Linked DNA regions of Coturnix japonica. Each later gene encodes a partner of the first gene's protein in a complex. Links are inferred from orthologs where the notes say so. Each region holds a gene or a part of one and is shown in the gene's direction. Other genes may lie near its edges.

What was found.
Region 2: DAB2IP (region 1) and ARHGEF6 share a complex: the UniProt entries of both Homo sapiens proteins name them as parts of the cytoplasmic complex. The link is inferred for Coturnix japonica from reciprocal best matches to the Homo sapiens genes DAB2IP and ARHGEF6.

What each region holds. Positions count from the first base shown.
Region 1 is NC_029532.1:6,961,847-6,967,524, forward strand, and holds the start of DAB2IP (disabled homolog 2-interacting protein), read left to right. Parts: upstream 1-2,112; 5' UTR 2,113-2,394; coding exon 2,395-2,536; intron 2,537-5,678. UniProt on the Homo sapiens protein: Functions as a scaffold protein implicated in the regulation of a large spectrum of both general and specialized signaling pathways.
Region 2 is NC_029519.1:4,237,533-4,242,410, reverse strand, and holds part of ARHGEF6 (rho guanine nucleotide exchange factor 6), read left to right. Parts: intron 1-2,121; coding exon 2,122-2,142; intron 2,143-3,110; coding exon 3,111-3,204; intron 3,205-3,689; coding exon 3,690-3,779; intron 3,780-4,485; coding exon 4,486-4,585; intron 4,586-4,878. UniProt on the Homo sapiens protein: Acts as a RAC1 guanine nucleotide exchange factor (GEF).

The sequences.
Region 1 (5,678 bases):
ATTCCTACCTGCACACCGAGGTGAGGATGGATGCTCTGCATCCCACTGCATCCCAGGTGCTTGGAGGATGAGCCACGTGGTTCCAATTAGGCAAAACCAACCTGGGTGGACATCACCCTTTTGGACTGTCTGAATTTGGATGAGCTTTTAAAATGGTTTTGTTTCAACGTTCAGTTCCATCAGAGCCTTTTTTTTTTTTTTTTCTCTTGGAAATAGAGTAAAAAATAAAGTGGGTCGGCTCTTTTAAGGACATTTCTAATGATAAAAGCATAATAGGAAAAAGCTTCTTTTCAGCTACCAGCTCAGTCATTAGGACACCAAAATTCAGAGAGAGATGTGAGCATTTGGCTTCTTGTCTATAACAGATCTGTCACTGAGCCTCAGTATTTTCAGGTTTTCCCATCACTGTCTTATAGTTGTTCTTGGCCCTATTTACAAACCAAATCAACTGTACAGAATGAGTCTCTGGTCATTTGGGAAAAGTTTTTTGTCATTTCTTTATTGTTTTTTGTGTTTTCATTTACCCAAATATGAATTAAACCCCAACATTCTGGATAACAAGGTGAGAACAGATGTGCATGCAATCGAAGCCTTCTCCTTTTTGCTGTGATGTGTTGTGGGGCTGGGTGACAGCTGGTGCTGGGTGCAAGCAGAGCAATGTCCCCACGCAGCATCCCCCTGCAGCATGGGATGGAGCCTCTGCTGTCCAGCTGGAGCTCCCTCCTTGACCTGAACTTGTCATTGCTTCCGTGATTGGCTCATTCCTGCACAGTCTAAAAGCTGTTGAATTCCTTATGTGTGGCCTCAAAACCAGGCATGGACTTTACTAAAGGCCGAGGCTTGTTTCCTGTCCCGAAAGGGTCTTTCTCCACTGATAAACACAATATTTTCCCTATATAATATGTAAATAAGACAACAAAGGTTTTGTAAAGTTCTAATGTTTTTCATGACTGTGTGAGTGTACAAAATGCTGAAAGTAGGGTGGATTGCTGGTGGTAAGGAAGGGACAGTCCTTAGGAGAACTAGAAGGCCTTTTGTTTCCCACATGAAGCACTAACAGGAGATGTCACACCGAGGGAACCAAGGTCGGGTGGTTTCTGCTACTTGTTTCTGAAGGCACAACTCGGTGTAACCCAGGAAAGCCTTCAGACTCCTGCAGAAGCTCCAACTAAGCAGGGAGCACAGCTCATCCTCAGCCAAGCCTGCCTGGTCCTACCACAGAGATACGTTTGCACAAATGTCTGGGAAGCAGAGCAGAAGTAAGGCACACTACAGAGAGGCGTTGTGTAAATGTTTTCCAGTTCACCCCACTCTGATCAGAGATTTTTCTGTTATCTGCCAACCCATGAGGAGTGGCAGCACACTCAGTCCTTGGCTGTGGCTCAGGGTTTCTGCAGTGCTCTCTGCTTGTCCTGCAGGGCACAATCTGTGCCAGCCCACAGAGGAGCTTTGGTGAAGGAATATGGACTATTTACCTCTCACCTGGCATTTCAAAACTAAATCTGGAGGTCAGTTTTTTGGTCTGGTTATTCTGTTTTCTTTTACACTTTTCTTCCATGGCTTAAAGCGTTAATTCTGCCCAATGCAATGTAATTTTATTGAGCAATATGAGCCGGAGACAGAATCTTCACTGCCATCAGAACCCAAATGGTAAATAGGCTCTTTCTCTATTTCATGGGATGTGCTATAACTCAGTTTGAATGTTGAAAGGAAATGGGCCTCCAGGGGAGTCTGGAGCTCTGTTCATTCAAGTTCTAATTAAAGTTTTCCCCTCTCAAATTTCACTTTATTTTCCGGGGCTTTTGCTCCATGATGATTATTAACATGTGTCCCATAGCCCGGAGATTGTTATACCCTTCCTGCCCCATATTCCATAGCTGCCTCCTGCTGCAGCCCGGCTGCCTGGCACTCCATCCCGGAGCGTGCAGCTGCTGGCAGGCAGGGGCTGCCCGGCTGCTCTCCTGCAGCAAGCGTTGCTTTCCTCCAGTGCTGCTCGGTCGGATGCTGCTGTCCAGTGGGGATGATCCAGTCCAGGATTTCTTCCAGCCTTTTCTTCATGTTTCAAGAGTCCAGGCCAACTCTGGCTTCCTATTCCAACTTCAGCACAAGCGCTTATCTTTTTGGGGGCAGGAATTGTTAGTACAGTCTATCTTGCTTGCTTCAAGCCCTCCCTCTGCTGAGACATGTACTCTGGTGCCGCATTCCTTTATTTTTTTTTTCTCTCTGTCTTTTTTATGTTTTCTTCCTGTTGTTTTTCTTTTTAAATGTGTAAAGTGAAGAGTTCCTCTTCCCCCCTCTCCCTTTCCACCGCACAGAACAACCTCCTGTTGATTACACGCTGGAACTGTTGCTACTTTGCCAGAGGGGAGAGTGAACCTGTGCCTGCATGTGTGCATGTGTAAAATAGACAGAAAAATGTCAATGAACAGCAGGAAAAGTTCTGGGAGACCGTCTTACTACTATCGTCTGCTCCGGAGGTCACGACTTCAGAGACAGCGAAGCAGATCCCGGAGCCGGAACAGGCCGCTTAGTAGGGGTAATTGCAACCAAGTTCTGTTTAATTGGCAGTGCAAAGACATACGTGGTGATGCTTACAGGTAGCTTCGTTACTGTGAGTAAGAGTGACCTGTGTGAATGTAGGTGTGCTGGGCTTTGCAAAAGGTCATTGCTTGTGCTGCAGGGATGTGAGGGGAGGGAGAGCGGCTGGATGGAGGCGCTGAGCTGGGCAGCCTGGCTGTAACTCCTCGTGTAACTGCAATTAATCCCATCTTCTCTGTTACCACCTGTAGCTTATTTCAATGTGTATAATTAAGGTAACCATTTCTTTCTAGCCAGCTGAGATGTTTGGAGGCCTAATTGATGATTATAGATATTTGAATATCCGTGATTAAGTGATGCTATCTGTGTGCCAAGATGAATTGCTGAGTATCGCCAGGGGTTTCAACATTACAAAGCTGAGTACAGTTTAAGGGCAGACTTTTTAGACAGAGCCTGCAGGTTGTGCACCTGAGGCACCGGGGAAACCTCTGGGACTTGTATTCCCAAATCACTTTGCGCATTTAAAAATCCTTCTCTAAAAGGGCCCATTTGTCCTCATCAGCACGAGTTGGGTCCACAGGGTAATGTTTCTGCAGGGTGTTTCACTCATGCAGCCCGTTTATTCTACTTGAGGCAACCACTGACCCAGATGCATTTTTAAAGATCAGCTATGCTGGCTGTGTCTTGCAGTGTGAGCTACGGTTCTGTTGGTGCTTGTGCCTGTTGTTAAAGCAGTCAAACAGGCGGGTGGCTTTGAGTCGTTCTGTGTTGAGCTCTTTGCAGTCAGGAGGGACAAGGGCTGTGTTTGGCCTTCAGTGAGACAATGCTGTCATATTTATAAAGTCCTGAGCTCAATCAAAGCCATGAATTAACTTTTTAGTTGTCATCCTTATGTGAATAAATAGCTCTAGCCAAGAGTGCAATGGCAACACCTCATGCTCCATCAGGTGTATGTGTGAATCCAGGCTTGTACTTGTGTCCCTGGTGCTGAGGGGGTGAACCTACCAGACTGCAGAACAGACCCCAGGAGTGCAAGATTTAACTTTGCACAGTGTGTTCTTCCTCCCTTGACTTACGGTACTTTTTCTGGATGTGGAATCATTGCTGGGAAAACAATAGGAAGCTAAATCAGTCCCTGAGCCTCATCCTTTCCTATAAGCAAAACAGAGCTTTTCTTTCCATTGATTTATTTTTTTTTTCTGTTCTGACTGTCAAAGAGGAGTGTTTGTAGGCCCACAAGCATGCAACCGCTCCTTTCCCCCCTTTATTCATATACTGCTCAAGACCAAAATATTTCACTGTCATTTCAGTTACCGAGTCAAACAAGATGTGTTTGTTTCTTTTAGGTTACCCAGTATGAACTTATGAGCATAAATTGTCGCGAGCACAAGGAATATGCAAGCAGATTTGATTGAAATGGAAATGAGCTCTAATGTTTGTGAGAAATTAGATTAGAACCAAATGAAATCTTCTTGTTGTTGATCCCTCCCTGAGTATTTTGTGTTTGTTACACGTATGTAGGATTCCTGCCTGCCAGGAGATTCACAATGCTCTGCACTCATTCGGCTCTTCTCATCTCCAGATCTTATGGGGATCAGCAAAATCTGGACAAGAATTTTCTGTTTGTCATTTTTTGTATGTAAGAGATGTAGGAAGCAAGTGAAGCGAGTTGTGGAGGAATGGTGCTGGGCTGCAGGGCACTGGGGTGTGTGGGGCTGGAGGCAGTGTGGGCAGAGTGAAGGAAGGGCAGGATGCCGATGTTTTGTCAGTGGACAGTGACAGATGGTAGGGCTGCAGGAGCAACGGAGAATGTGGACACCACAATGAGTCTGTAGGGCTTTTGGTTTTGATGTAATGTGAATTCCCAAAGCCTACGAGTTCCTAAACAAGGAAGGAACTTAGGATCACCTTCTCAAGTACTTATCTGCAGCATCATTTGCCATTGCTAACTAAGCTGTTCAAAGACCAGATATTCTTAATGGAAAGTTACCATAAACTCAGGAGTACTGGAATGCTTTCACAGGAACTGGCTGTGGTCTGTCTTGCCACTTGCTTGTTTCCTGGCTGTTGGCTCAGCAAGTCTTTCTCTCCCCTTTGCCACAATGCACACAGAGCACACGTGGATGCAGCTGGGTTGTGCAGCAGTGGGGCCCGCAGGCTGAGCTTCTCCACGCGGTGCCGCAGGCGGCAGCCAGCTCTGGGCCAGGGGCTCGCTGGGGGTCAAACAGCTGTTCCACATTTACCAGGAGGAGGAGATCTCTGCTGACACGCGTCCGGCATCTGGAACCGCTCGCAATACGGCACCAATCGCGGATGCGGCTCCCGGGAGGTGCAGGTGCTGCCATCTGCTGCCAGCACGGCTCCGTGCCACTGCGCTGGGAGCCCACCTGGTTTCTGTCTGCCAGGTTCTCTGAATAAGGAAGAGGTTGTGTTAAAACGCAGCTATTCATATTCTGCCGCTTCCCACCGCCAGCCCGTCAAGGGCAAAGGCAGAGACCCCCCCGCAGAGCGTGGCTGCGGGATGCTGCTCACCCGAGGAAGGCAGGGATGGGCTGTGTCCATCGCCTGCCCAGCTGTGGGGCTGGATGCTGGGGAAGCAGTCCTTGCTGTGGGGGGACCAAGGAAGAGATGAGCGCTGCCTCAGGAAAGTGTGCTGCAGTGCATGTTAGATAAGCAAAGTGAGCAGAATTTGTGTTTTCTATGCAAGTCTCTAAGGGCAGTCGGGGTCTGCTTTCTGTTGGGCTCCAGATGAACGCAATCTGATGTAGCGTGCAAAAAAATCTGTCACACTTCCAGGTGTTTTCAGTGACAGACAGCTTACCTGATGTCTCATCTGATGTTATCCTCTGTTCATGGAGTTCAGAGCTCTCTGGTCAGCCCTGCTGTGTAGGGCACGTTTATCTCATGTTCATGTGCCCAGGCCCAGAACAGCTGAAGAGCTGAAACTGATGGGGTGGCAAACCAGGCCAGAACAGGGAGCCATGCTGCTATGGGGCTCCAGTGCCCAGAAATTCCTGCAGTCTGATAGTGGATAAACAGGACAGGTTTCTCTCCACTGTTATTTTTTGTTACACTGATGATAATGTTGGAAATCTCCCGGCTCTGCTTTCCACAGGGATTTGGGCCATGCTACAGGTACA
Region 2 (4,878 bases), on another chromosome or scaffold:
GATGCTGAGAGAAAACGCTGTGCAAATGAGTGATGCATGCTGGTTGCTGCAGCTGGCTTTGAGCTGCAAGTGAAGCATGAGCGTGTGCATTTACAGGGTCAACCCCATCCCCGGTGTCAAGCCCACAGCTGCACTGAGGGACAGGTCTGGTGTTTTGTATGATTTATACCTATGTTTTGGTGGCCCGAGCAGAGCGGTGCAGCAGCCGTGATGTTTGACCCCATATTCACACACCCATCACCCTCTGGGATGTGTAGCATCCCCCGCAACAACCCCCAGCCTGAGGTAGGAGGCAGCATGGGGAAACCCAAAATAAACCCCTGCTCCCATTCTCACCCCCCACTGCAACTGCAGCATCGTCCTTCCCTACCTTGCATTAAACTTTTGGGATTACTCACCAGTAACGTGGCAACGTTCCTCTTACTGACTGAGCACTCCAGTTCTGAGTCACCGGCCTTTCTGGGTACGGCAGTATGGGAGCATCACTGCCTGGGCTCCCAGGAGGAGAGAGATGGGGATGGGGACAGGGCTCATGGGCAGCTCAGCCCCCCAGCACGCAGGGACAGCGCCCACAGGGCTGTGGGGCTACTGTTCCAGGCCGAGGTTTTGAGGTTGCTTCACTGTGTTTTGATATATTTCTTCAAATTCATGAAACAACGCATTTCACTTTGGGAATTAAATAGATCTGGAACCAAATGAATAGGTGGGAAACCACCCTTCAGCTTTGCATGTTCCAAATCTTTAATGTGGACTAAACAGCCTTGTGCTTGCACGGTGCACTGAAATCTAGGGAGAGACTTTAATTAGAGGAGAAATTTTTCCATATGAAAGTACAAGGGTGAGATCGATTTACAATAGAGGCCAAAACCACAGATTGAGTGATTTTGTTAATACCTCAATCTCCTTTGTGATTTCTCACTCATTCCCTGCCGTGGATCTTTTACACCATCAGTGTAAAGGAGGTGAGAGGTGCTGCCGGCAGCAGGGAGCCCCAAGGGGCTGCACACAGCACCTAGAAGGCCCAATAGTGTGGTGTGGATGGGAGCAGTGGTATCACAGCACCCCCAGCCTTCATGAGCCTTCATTTGCACTCACTGCTGCAGAGCCCTCTGATAGCAAAGAGCTTTTCCACCACCTCCAGGTGATAGCCCTGGGCATGCAGCCCATGGCCCTGCAGTGGCAATTGCAGTTATTGGTCCCAGATTAAACTGTAGCACAAAATGAGCGATGCTAACAGCCGAGCACAAGTCTCCTTGTTTTTACAATGAACAAATAGAACCATTTCAAGTGTCGCTTGCAGGGAAGAGCGTGGGGGAGTTTGATTAAAAGATGAGAGATTTTCAGACATCCATTGTTACTTTAATTGGCTTCTGGTGGTGTAGGATGGGATGGCACAGTCTTGTGCATTTCCTCATACCTAGCTGTGTTCAGGAAACCCCAGAACCTGCTTGCGTACTGCACAGCACCGCTGTTATTTCCATTGAAATTGGGTCATTTTTCCTGTTCTGTTTCCAGTAATCATTTGCAGTGACAGAGCAGGTGCTGTGAGTAAAGCAGTGTGCCCGGATTCAGGTTAGTTAGCGAAGTGAGAAAGGTTTACAGATGATTTCCATTTCGTTTCTTTCTTTTTGTCGGTTGCATTAGGTGAAGGGGTTTTTTAGCACTGGGATTTGTAACTTCTGCTGCTTGGAGCAGCAGGAAAGCCGAGCGGTGCCCTCTGAGAAGCCACAGCCCTGGGCTTTGCCATAGGTTGGGCAGAGCACTGCATCCCTTTATCCCCAGGCACCAGTCCTGTGGATGTCAGCCCATTTTAAGCACCATTCTCTTAAACAAGCAACATCTACTGAAACCTACCACTAACCCAGGAGGCATGCTCTCTCTATGGATGTCTTCGGAGTGGATTAATGCCTGCTTCCCATGAGTTTCCCATGTAACTCGGTCAGTTTTGCATGGCGCCGTTCTCTTTTGCATGCTGATAGCAGAAGCAGTGTGGAGGGTGTGATGAATTAATCGCAGCACTAACATTTAAATGTGTTTTAGAATTGTGGATTTAATGGACTCGGTCAGTAAAATCATCAGTCTCTCACACTCATCTTCTCTTTCTTTGCATATTCATTGTAGAGGATGTCTTATATCTTAAAGGTAAGGGTAGATCCATCTCTTTGGCTTGTCGTGGCAAAGGCTGCTTGGTGCTGTTCATGCTTCTTGTGCTTGCACAACCCTTGTTTTGCCTGGCTGTATCTATAACTTAACACGAGAGTCAGTGGCAACTGGCAAATGCTGGGAGATCTCTCAAGAAGGATTTAGGACCCTGCTACTAAAACTTCCTGGCATGCCTCATCGTTCCTTAAAACTGGAATTGCATGTAACCTATTAATGTACTAATTCCTAATCAGCAAGACGTGTAACTCAGTGAAGGAGACAAAGAGCTTGTGTTCCTTCCTAGCAGAGCCACAGCAAACACTAACTGTGCGTGTGCTTGTTTGTTCTCTGTGTATGTTGGGGGTTATTTGTACTCTCAAGCAAATGCGGTGCATTGAGAAGCAATGCTGTTTGCTATTTCTTCTTTTTATTAGAAATCAAGTTGTGTCAAGGAAATAAACAGTATTTTAAAGTTTTCTGACGGAGGCCACATTGCTGATAAGCAAACACAAAGTGCTGTGAATGTGGCTGAGTTCTTTGGCCAAAGGCTGTTAGCTGAGGGATATCTGCTAAAGGAGCGTGTCCTGTCCCAGACCTGCAGGTGCAATTAGGAAACGTTTCTACTCAGTGAGGTGATGGGGTCACCGTCCCTGGAGCTGCTCCAGAATTGTGGGGATGTGGCACTGAGGGACGTGGTGATGGGCATGGTGGGGTGGGCTGGGGTTGGACTTGGGGATCCTAGTGGTCTTTTCCAACCTGAATGATTCTATGAATTCCCACCTGTGTGAGAGGGAGCAGTGGACATGTGGGAAAAGCAAAGAACACCATTTCCCCCACCGCTGTCATTGTCTGCTTTGTAGTGCTGTAGTGCTTTGTGCGTAGCACCAATAGCTGCATCCAGCCTGAGCTGCTCTGCTGTTGGAGCTGCCTTTGGTGCTGGTTGAACACAACACTCTCTTTCCCTATAGGACTCCAGCAAAAGTCCAAAAACCATGAAGAAGTTTCTTCCAAAAAGGAAAACTGAGAGAAAAGCATCAGATGAAGAGTTTGTTATTAGGAAAAGTAAGTGCTGATTCTTGATCTTTTCTGAGGTTTGAGCTCAGCAATCTCCACAGGGCTTTGAGAAGGGCCTTTTTTCCCTTGCAGGATGCGGCTCAGCAGTGAGCCTGTGTGCTGCTGGGGCTCCAGCTGTGTGCAGACCCTGAGCTGGGGCCCCAAGCAGCACCATGTCCTTTCAGTGTGATTCCCACCATGAGGACACCTGGCTGCAGGTGGTTCATTGTGGCCACAAAGCCAAATTGCTGCTTGAAAGTAGTGAGATGCCGTTCTGACCCTGAGTTCCTCTAGGCAGCAAGAAGTGTGCCTTCACACCTTTCATGGTGTTTAGTGTCACAGGATGTTGCAAAGGCCAGAAAATGTGAAGGAGCTCAGAAAGGAATTAGGGAAAGTCCCAAGACTGTCAGTCAAGGAAACAACACCTTCATGCCCAAAGGCTGAACACAGAGATCTTGGCTTTTGCAGCAGCTGATGTGTGTGCTGTGTTCCAGGTACTGCTGCACTGGAGGAAGATGCTCAGATCCTGAAGGTGATCGAGGCGTACTGCACCGGGGCGGGCTTCCAGCAGGCACTCAGCTCAGGTGGGCACACAGCAGGTTCTTGAATGCTCCTCCTGCCTGTAGCGCTGATAACCCTCTGGGAAAAAAAACCCAGCTTGTTACATCAGTGAGCAGTGAGACTCATGTTAGGAAACTGTGTGGTGTTCAATCTTTGAGATAAGGGAGCTTCATCTGCTCAGTGGTTTAGTTGCCATTGTTTTTCTTCTAAACACAGAGAATGAGCAGATAGGAGGGCAGATGTGATGCAGCTACTTCACCAGCACTTGTTAGGAATTAAACAACCCTCGTCAGTGCCTGTGGCTGTCAGCACTGAAAACCTGATGCTAATCTCGGGTTGCATGTAGCTTTAGAAAGGAAGCATGAATATTATCTCTCCATCAGCTGCGTATTTAAAAACGAGCTGCTTCATAAGAACCTATCTACCATCTTCAACGCTGGAAATAAAAGTATTTATCACTGCTGGTAAGATGTCAAATTAAATCACTGAACTATCAAATTATGGCACGTTTGTGAAAGGGAGGTCGTGTTCTTCAGAGAGCTCCTGACCTTCCCCGAAGCACTTCATTTATAAGTAATGATGGAGCTGTGAGTGCTCTGGGTCTGGAAGCTGTCCCTCGCTGCTCTGGCCCAGCTGCACACCCAGCCCCTGCATCACCCTCCCAGCCCCTGCTGTGGGCTCCAGGAAAAATCTCCCTTTTTCTTCCTGATGAGCATTTCTTGCACACAGGCTCCCGAAAGGACTCCATCCCCCAAGTCCTTCTTCCCGAGGAGGAGAAAATCATCATTGAGGAAACGAGAAGCAATGGTCAGACTGTCACAGAGGAAAAGTAAGTGAGGCTGCAGACCCCTGGCCAGGCTGCTGCCTTATCCCAAGAGCACCAGGCTGTTCCAGTGGCTATTTTCTCCCTTTTTAAGTACAGTGCTGCATTCTCAGCAGTTCAGAGATAGCTGCGTCCCCCTGGGAGCCCACACAAAGGTCTTGAGAGCCAACATATATAGTCCCAGCTCTCCTCTGGGTGTAGTGAACTGGGTCAGGGAGGACAGATCCAAACAAGGGGCTTTGTTGTTTGTTTTTCTTTTCCATCTGCAGACACTGCGGTCTGCTGCTGCTCCTTGGAGC